Callithrix jacchus: one gene and its partner. The protein of the gene in region 1 purifies or fractionates together with the protein of each later gene. This does not show direct contact. Links are inferred from orthologs where the notes say so. Each region holds a gene or a part of one and is shown in the gene's direction. Other genes may lie near its edges.

Region 1 (4,981 bases):
GATCCTTGCCATACTATCCTCTCTATGTGATGCTACCTTTTACAAATTCACTTCAATTCCTGTTTTCCTGAACAGAATCCCAAATGAATCTGACTGCTTTGTAATATTATCTATAATCTGTACCAGGAAAGTTTTAATATGTATATATATAGTATTATTTATTTTTTTGTCATCTAATTTTTAAAAAATATAAATCTGACTTATTTGTTTTATATTGAATGGTTAGAGTATTCCAGATGGTACCTTTGCATGTGTTTATAATATCTATATTATAGAACTTTGACTAGTGCTTTACTTTTGTGCAGTAAGGCTTACTAGTCCACAGCTCTTCTGTTTCCCCTATTATGTGGCATCTGAGACTTAGGGACTCTTTACTTTAGAAAAGTATGCACTTTATATGTAACTATACTTCTGCTGGTAATCTTAGGTCTCTTCATACTAGAGTAAGCTCCATGGGAAGGCCAGTTGGACAAGTAGAAAAGATAACTGTGGCTTCTTCCTCCTAGTTCTCAGTGTACTAAATATAGTGAATACTTGCCAAGGCATTACATATCTTTAAGATTATTTTTCTTAACACTGGAAATATTATACTGAATTTCTTGCTTTTTGGTGGAAGGGTTGTTCAGCACTCAGTCTTCTTTTAAGAAAGTCTTAGTTTTCATTTTTATTCATTAAACCCTTTGCCCCTGAAAAAAAAAAAACCACATGAAGTTATTAAATGAAAAGTTAAAATCATTTATTGAGAAATTCATGATTAGAATATATGTCTCCATTTATTGACATGTTGAGGTAGGAATAAGTTGCAACTTCTTATGTAAATAAATTTTAGCTTCCTATTTAAAGAACAGTGGCTTATGGGTGACTGAGCTGAGAATAATGTACATTTTAAAGTTTGGTATTACTGAGCATTAAAAAAATTATAACTATAATTTTTAGAAATAAGGTTAGGACTTTAAATTACCCTTTCCTATGTTTTTCATAAGAAAAGGTAACAGATTTTAGTTTGTATGTTAAAGTAACAAAGTTCATATATCCCAGTGAGGAATATTTTTAAAAACTACCAACTTTATTATTATTTTTTAAAATCCTGGTATATATTGTCACAAAGGGAGACTCACATATTTTTGGGAAAAATACTACTTTATCTTTTTAATTCATTATTGCTTTCTCCACTATGCTTCTTTAGACGGAATACTCCTTATAAAACCCTGGAACCTGTTAAACCCCCAACAGTTCCTAATGACTATATGACGAGTCCTGCTAGACTTGGAAGTCAGCATAGTCCAGGCAGGACAGCATCTTTAAATCAGAGACCAAGGACACACAGGTAAGCCTTCAGGTTGAGTGTTTGAACATCTCTGAAGTGGGTGTTACTGACTGGTGTCAAACTCCTATGAAGGTGCTGAGTAAAGGTGAAGTGCCACCTCTAATGCTAATACCAAGTGTAAAAGTTGGTGGCATAATGTTATATGTGTTCCTGTAAGTTTGTGTTATAAGTTCTGCGTTGTGTTTTAGGATTTTAATAACATTCATTGTACTCTTAATGGATTGTTTGTATTTCCTCCTTTTAATAGCGGTACAGATATATATTTGGTTCAAGACTAAAGAATGTTTTAAAATGGTCTTTCAAAAAAGTTCAAGGCAAACCACTCAAATACTTTTGGAGAAAAGATTTAATATTATAGGAATTATACAACATGATTTAAACTTTCAGAGAATGAAGGAAAGAAGATTGAGCTTAAATCTGAGGGAGACTTTATTAAGAGAGTCAGTATACTAGAATATGTTATGTATTTATTATTTTTAAATGTCCTAAAAACTATCCAGTGGGTTTTAAAAGTTTTAGTTATGGGCCGGGCGCGGTGGCGCAAGCCTGTAATCCCAGCACTTTGGGAGGCCGAGGCGGGTGGATCAGGAGGTCAAGAGATCGAGACCATCCTGGTCAACATGGTGAAACCCCGTCTCTACTAAAAATACAAAAAATTAGCTGGGCATGGTGGCACGTGCCTGTAATCCCAGCTACTCGGGAGGCTGAGGCAGGAGAATTGCCTGAATCCAGGAGGCAGAGGTTGCGGTGAGCCGAGATCGCGCCATTGCACTCCAGCGTGGGTAACAAGAGCGAAACTCCGTCTCAAAAAAAAAAAAAAAAAAATTAGTTATGAAGCATAATAAGCATTCAGAAAAGTATCTACTTTATTAAGTATCAGCTTGATGGATGGGCACACACTGATATAACCATCACCCAGATCAGAAAATGGAACATTACCAGCAACCCAGAAGCCCCCTCATGCTCCTTCCCAGTTATCGCATTGACTTTCTTCCCCCAAGATGTAGCCACTTCAATTTTTGAGTGCTTTATAAAACCAGATAAATTTATTATATACCCTAATTTATTTTATTCTTCAGTTTTCTCTCTCACTTAATAACTTGGGCAGAGAACCTCTCTTTTACCTTCACTCTTAGGTTGGTAAATGAGAGAGAACTTATGAAAATGATTTATGGGAATTCCACTAAATAGGGTATATCAAGATGCGAGATGCTAGGTAAGCGATATTTATTACTGTTGCTACTGTTAGTAAACAAATTGTTAAGTTGATAGCTGCAAATTCTGTATCAGGTCAGGTTCATTGAGGAACAAAATTTTTCTCTTTGTTGTTCATGAACTATTGGATCAAAGTATGGTTTTTCTCTATAGTGGAAGCATAGTTCAATCATATTCAACAAGCAGTTATTAAGTGTTGTTCATTAGATGTTAGGCTTATTTCCCAATAAGGTATATTTCTTTTTTCAAGAGCTCATTCTGTTATAACGGGAATCAGCAAACTTTTTTCTTTGAAGGGCCAGATTGTCAATATTTTAGGATTTGTGGGCCATATGGTTTCTGATGCAATTACTCAGATCTGTCATTGTAGCACAAAAGCAGCCATTGACAATACGTAAATGAATGTGGCTGTGTTCCAGTAAAACTTTATTTATAGCACTGAGATTCTAATTTCATGTAATTTTAATGTGTTACAAAATATTATTTCTCTTGATTTTTTTAACTATTAAAAAATTAAAAAACATGTTTTGCTCACAGGTAGTAAAAATTGGGCAGTGGACCAATTTTAGCCCATAGGCTGTAACTTGCCAAGCCCTTGTTGGAAAAAAGGCAGCTTCAGACACTGTGTTCATGACTGCATTGTTCACTGCTCTTCAAAGCGGGTTTTGAATAAACACTTGTTAACTCATTGTACTGTAAGATTTTGTTGGTGATAAATATTTCAACAGAGATGGTTTTAAGTACTATGTTTTTATTATATTGGTTCCAGATAGGTTGAGAAGTGGAACCATTTCAAATATTAAGATTAAGATTTGTGATGAATAGTTAAAAATTTTCTACACACAGACACACACACGCGCCCCTCTGCTTCCTTCCTGCCCTCCCTCGGGTTCTGCATTCCCAGAGTCAGCCAGTCTTGGGTTGAAAATACATTATTCATGGGATGCCGAACCTGTGGATATGGAACACCAACTTTTCATATCCACTGGTTCTGCAGAGCCAGCTGCAGGACTTTAACATCCATGGGTTTTGGTATCCAAGCGGGTTCTTGGAATCGATTCTCCAAGGATACTGAGGGATGACTATATGGCATAAAAGGAGTATTTAGTGGCCTTGGGTGATTACAGCTTTTTAAAAATATGTCTCTAGAATTGCTTTTTCACAATGTTTTTATTTTTTTTCCAGTGGAAGTAGTGGAGGAAGTGGAAGTCGAGAAAACAGTGGTAGCAGTAGTATTGGCATTCCCATTGCTGTGCCTACACCTTCGCCACCCACTATTGGACCAGGTGTGTTATTTATTAATCTATGTTTAACACATGATAGTATTTATGAGTTTTATTCTGGAAGGCTGAAATAAATTAGTCATATTGAGTAAAATTATTAAATTTGTGATTGTTGCTAGAACAAAGGCTGATAACAAAGTTATAAATATTTTTAGATTGCTTTTGACAGAGTCTTTAGGTTTTCACCAGCTGTTTCTCCTTATATATGGTGCATATTAAGTAGTTTTGTTAAACAACTTTTTGTTGGCCATTTTGCTTTAGAAATATATTTATTCCTCAGTGTCCATGGGGTGATGGGTTTCAGGGTTCCCTGTGGATACCAAAATGCATAGATGCTCAAGTCCTTTCTATAAACTGGTGTAGTGTTTGTATATAACCTACACACTTTCTTTCATATTCTTTAAATCATCTCTAGGTTACTTATAATACCTAATACAATATAAGTGCTAATTAAATAGTTATACTGTATTGTTTAGGGAATAGCGACAAGAAAAATAAGTCTGCACATGTTCAGTACAGATGGAGCCATCCTCTTTTTTCCCCCCGAAATCTTTTCAATCTATAGTTGGTTGAATCCAGCAATGAGGGAACCCATGGATATGGAGGGCTGACTGTATTTGCCTAGTGCACTAGTCAACAATGATAGTTATTATTTCAAGAGCAAAGCAGTATTATACGATACTCCAACTGGAGAATCAGTGTTTATAAAGGTGAATTATGTTTCTAAGAGTTGCCTTGCAGGGCACTATATACTCTGGTGTTTGCTTATTTTGTGACTTTACTACATTTATCTATGATATTCAGTATATATTTCAGTAAAATGCAATAAATGTAAAATAAGATTAAAATAGGAAAGTTATTTTACTTTTTAGAAAGTATAAAAATTTAAGAACTCCCTGGAGAGCATTAAATTAGCCCTTTGATTTTTAGTAAATGAAATGGAGACTTTTTATATTGTTAAAAATGTATATTTTAAAATTATGATAACGAAAAATGTTGGGAAAAAAATTCTTAGCTTTTTGAGCATATTTTTAAAAAAGGAGAAAAAGCCACTTATAAAAACAGGCATATTTGTTAGTTAAGGCAGGTATAAACTCAGTAGCCTTTTTACCTAGTAAAATTCTTACTCCTTTGAACATGCTTTACATGTGGGTAT
Region 2 (4,981 bases), on another chromosome or scaffold:
GATGCAGTTACTTCATTGTGTTGATGCTTTTTACCATTTGGTACATTTTGGAGTGGCTGGTACTGGTTTTTCCTTTCCGTGTTTGGTGCTTCCTTCAGGAGCTCTTGTAGGACAGGCCTGGTGGTGACAAAATCTCTCAGCAATTGCTTTTTCGTATAGGATTTTATTTCTCCTTTGCTTATGAAGCTTAGTTTGGCTGGATATGAAATTCTAGGTTGAAAGTTCTTTTCTTTAAGGATGTTGAATATTGACCCCCACTCTCTTCTGGCTTGTAGGGTTTATGAGGAGAGATCCACTGTGAGTCTGATGGGCTTCCCTTTGTGGGTAACCTGACCTTTCTCTCTGGCTGCCCTTAGCATTTTTTCCTTCATTTCAACCCCGGTGAATCTGATGACTATGTGCCTTGGGGTTGCTCTTCTTGAGGAATATCTTTGTGGTGTTCTCTGTATTTCCTGGACTTGAATGCTGGCCTGCCTTGCTAGGTTGGGTAAGTTCTTCTGGATAATATTCTGAAGAGTGTTTTTCAGCTTGGATTCATTCTCTCTGTCACATTCAGGTGTACTACACCTATTAATCATAGATTAGGTCTTTTCACATAACCCCATATTTCTTGGAGGCTTCGTTCATTTCTTTTCACTCCTTTTTCTCTAATCTTGCCATCTCATTTTATTTCATTGAGTTAATATTCAGTCTCTGATATCCTTTCTTCTGCTTGGTCGATTTGGCTTTTGAACTTGCATATGCTTCACAAAGTTCTTGTGTTGTGTTTTTCAGCTCCATTAAGTCATTTATATTCTTCTCTAAGCTGTTTATTCTCGTTAGCATTTTGTCAAAGCTTTTTTCAAGGTTCTTAGTTTCTTTGCATTGAGTTAGATAGAACATGTTCTTTTAGCTCAGAGAAGTTTTTTATTACCCACCTTCTGAAGCCTGTTTCTGTCACTTCATCAGACTCATTCTCCATCCAGCTTTGTTCCTTTGCTGGTGATGAGTTGTGATCCCATGGAGGAGAGACATTCTGGTTTTGGTATTTTCATCCTTTTTGCACTGGTTTCTTCCCATCTTTGTGGATTTATCTACCTGTGGTCTTTGTAGTTGATGACTTTCGGATGGGGTCTCTAAGTGGACATCCTTTTTGTTGATGATGAAGTTATTTCTTTCTGTTTTTTAGTTTTCCTTCTAACAGTCAGGCTCCTCTGCTATAAGACTGCTAGAGGTCACTCCAGACCCTGCTTGCCTGGGGATCACCTGTGGTGGCTGCAGAACTGTAAGGGTTGCTGCCAGTTTCTTCTTCTGTTATCTTTGTCCCAGAAGGATACCTGCCAGATGTCAGCCTGAGCTCTCCATTATGAGGTGTCTCTTTGGATATACAGGTTCAGGGAGCTGCTTGAGGAGACAGTCTGTTTCTTATAGGAGCTCAAATGCTGAGCTGTGATCTCCGTTGTTCTCTTCAGAGCTTCTGTACAAGTATATTTAAGTCTGCTGCAGCAGAACTCATAACCACCTTTTTACCCAGGTGCTCTGTCATGGTAAGATGGGGCTTTGTAGTTCCTGTCATGCTGCTGCATTTTTTCAGAGCTGCCCTGCCCAGCATGGTGGTAGTCTAGCCACAGTCTGCCAGCAGAGGCATTCCTGAGCTGCCACGGGCTCTGCCCAGCAGCTGTGTGAACTTCCTTGCTGTTTTGTTTATAGAGGTATAGTTAGAACTGCATTGGTAATGGCAGACTGCCTCTGTAGTGGCGGGCTGCCTCGGTAGTGGTGAGCTGCCTCAGTAGTGGAGGACTGCCTCAGTAATGGCGGATGCCCTTTCCCCAACAGAGCTGGACCATCTGGGGTCCAGCTGCGCTTGCTGCGAAGCGCTCAATCCAGAGCACTTCAGAATACTGGTCTTTGTGGGGGTGGGACCCGCCTAGTCAGATCACCTGGCTCCGTTTCAGCCCCCCCCTCTTTTTTTTTCAGTTGAATGGGCATTTCTGTCTTCCAGTCATTTCAGGCGCCAGTTGAAACGGTCACCCAGATTTGTGTGAGTTTTTCTGTGGAGACCCACTGCACCAGCTGAAACAGCCATGCTGGAAACTCATGGCACTTTTCAGCCAGGGAATCTCCTGGTCTGTGGGCAGTAATAACTCATTTGGAAATGTGGTGTTTACCCACTCTCTGCGTTGTTCTCGCTGGGAACTACACTCCAGAGCTGTTCCTATTTGGCCATCTTGGATCCGCCCCACCCCTTTTCTTTTTTTATAATTGCCCTTCAGTTTGATTCATTTATCTTGAAATGTTAAGCAACCACAGCTGTAGACCTTAATCTGTGGTTCATATCAAGCAATTCAACTTTTTCTTATAATGTTATGACATTTTTGTACTTGAGAGTACTTCCAGCGTCACTAAATGAGGCCCACGGTGTATTCAAGGTTTGCGGTATTGCATGCAACATGATGAAAAATACAAAAGAACCATGAGAGATTACTTCCTACTCTCATAGGCAATTTAGTGGAGAGAGAACTGCTCAAACAGCATTTTAAGGAAATACAACACTAGAACTAACTGCAGTATCAACAGAGGGTGGTTATAAAATTATTACAGTAATACAGAATTACTACATTTAAATTTATTGTTAAGATATAGTACTATTTGGTATTATTAAGTTGGCAAAAACCGCAATTACATTTGCGCCAACCTGATAACATCTTTACATTTCTTTATATTTCTCTTGACTATGAATGGCACTGTGTTTGTGTTTTGTGTGTAAATTTTGATAAATTTTAACTTTTTATAATGGATTTCTATATATTTTATGGTAGTAAATTATAAAACACTAGTATTTACATATATTTTATGCATTCATAACATATATTTAAAATAATGTTAAGGCTATGTGGTTCATCTGCAAGTTTTGTCAAATTGTCTCAAGTCTCCAAAATTTTAAATATCTTTATTGGAAAAAAATCCACGTATGAGTGAACTAGCACAGTTGATGTTGATCAAGGGTCAATTGTAGTTCCAAATAAATGCCAAATTCCAACAGGACACCAGTTTTAATGTTACATTGTTCAGTGTTTATCTCTGATCACAAAGTATCTGAGGCAGATACCATTTTAGATTTCTACTGCTTGCAAAGATAAAAACTCAGTGCTCTGGATATTAAATTTTATGATATATGTTTCATTTTTGCTTAGGTAAATATGCTGAAGATATATTTGGAGAATTATTTAATGAAGCACATAGTTTTTCCTTCAGAGTCAACTCATTACAAGAACGTGTGGACCGTTTATCTGTTAGTGTTACACAGCTTGATCCAAAGGAAGAAGAATGTAAGCTTATTAATATTGTATTTTTTTCTGTGTGTATATTTTAAGTTAGATGAGATGAATGATATATTTAAGAACAATATTGTGAGTTTATTCCAGATCTTACCCATGTTCTGTGGTGTACATATTGTAATAAATCAGTTAATTATCTAAAAATGCCATCAGTATTAGTGTCCTGGCTTTTCTATTTTAAATATCTTCTTTTTGTACACTAAACAGCTCCTAATTTTTTTAACATAAAAAAGATGTTTTAATCAGATGTTTTCCTCCATTTTCTTTATCTTTTCTCCCTTGTAATTTATTTGTACACTTTTGTCTTAGAAATAAAAATTATTAGAAAATTACCTGAAATCTTTAGGTTTGATTTTACAAGAATGTAACCACTTTTAAATGCTTTTGTATGTGCATATTGCTAAAGTCTTATTAATTATTTAACCGAATGCAACTTCCTACTTTAAATGAACATTTCAAAAACAAATTGCCAGTTAGGGTGTAAGCATTCTATACCAAGATATTAAATCAGGAATAATCAGGTAAAAAAGCCACTCTGTAGGCTAAAATACTTGTAGAAACTTTCGTGGTAAAAATCATGTTTTATGCCTTGATAGAATACATTGAATGCCAATGTTTCCCAAATGTGTCTTTTTCTTTGTTTTACAAAAAGAAATGCAGTACTAAGAACATAATTTGCACTTATCTACCACAGAGAATTGCTTAGTGGAATTTCTTACAACACTCCCTTCAAAATATTTTTGTTGCATTAAATAGTACAAATGCAAATTATATAATCTAATTTTTAGTATAAATGCAGATTATATAATAGATCTAAACTTTAACAATAAAAATATTAAAGGATGTCACTGGAAAGAACAAAAAAATACAATGTTATAATGAATGTCTCAGTGATGGAACCAGCTCCTTTTGAAATAATCTAATGTGTAAATAAGGAGAGGCAAATACTTAGCACACTAGATTTCTACTGCTTGCAAAAATAAAAACTCAGAGCTCTGGATACAAGAAAAAAATGAAATAATACTTTAAAAATAGCTTTATTAAGATATATTTAACAACCTACGTATACCTTGCATCCATTTAAAGTTGAAGTGTACAATTTTTTATTATATTCAATAGTTATGCAGCCTTCACCACAATGAATTTTAGAATATTTGTATCACTCCAGAAAGAAGTCCTGTACTCATTAGCAGTCACTCTATTTCCCCTTCAGCTCAACCCTTAGCAATCGCTGATGTTTCTGTCTATATGGATTTGCCTGTACTGTATATTTCATATGAAATATGTGGTCTTTTATGACTGGCTTCTTTTACCATAATGTTTTCAAGGTTCATCCATGTACATATATTTATATTATATTTCCCTGATGGCTAATGATGTTGAGCATCTTTTCATGTGCTTATAGGCCATTTGTATATCTTCTTTGGATAAATGTCTATTTAGTTCCTTTGCCCATTGATATTAGCGTTTTTATTTTTGAGTTGTTAGAATTCTGTCTATATTCTGGATTTAAGTCCTTTGTCAAATATATGATTTGCAAATATTTTCTCCCATTCTTTAGGTTGTCTTTCTTGGTGGTATCCTTCAAAACATGTGCATATATTAATACATTAATTGCATCTCATGGAATTCTTGAAATGAAATCGTAGTTAGAGGTGAAAAAT

Evidence for each region.
Region 2: the proteins of ABI1 (region 1) and WASF1 purify together in Homo sapiens (affinity purification with mass spectrometry; 6 studies listed by BioGRID and IntAct, with this or other methods). This does not show direct contact. The link is inferred for Callithrix jacchus from reciprocal best matches to the Homo sapiens genes ABI1 and WASF1.

Annotation. Positions count from the first base shown.
Region 1 is NC_133508.1:27,143,655-27,148,635, reverse strand, and holds part of ABI1 (abl interactor 1), read left to right. Parts: intron 1-1,186; coding exon 1,187-1,327; intron 1,328-3,727; coding exon 3,728-3,828; intron 3,829-4,981. UniProt on the Homo sapiens protein: May act in negative regulation of cell growth and transformation by interacting with nonreceptor tyrosine kinases ABL1 and/or ABL2. May play a role in regulation of EGF-induced Erk pathway activation. Involved in cytoskeletal reorganization and EGFR signaling.
Region 2 is NC_133505.1:116,283,127-116,288,107, reverse strand, and holds part of WASF1 (actin-binding protein WASF1), read left to right. Parts: intron 1-3,173; coding exon 3,174-3,308; intron 3,309-4,981.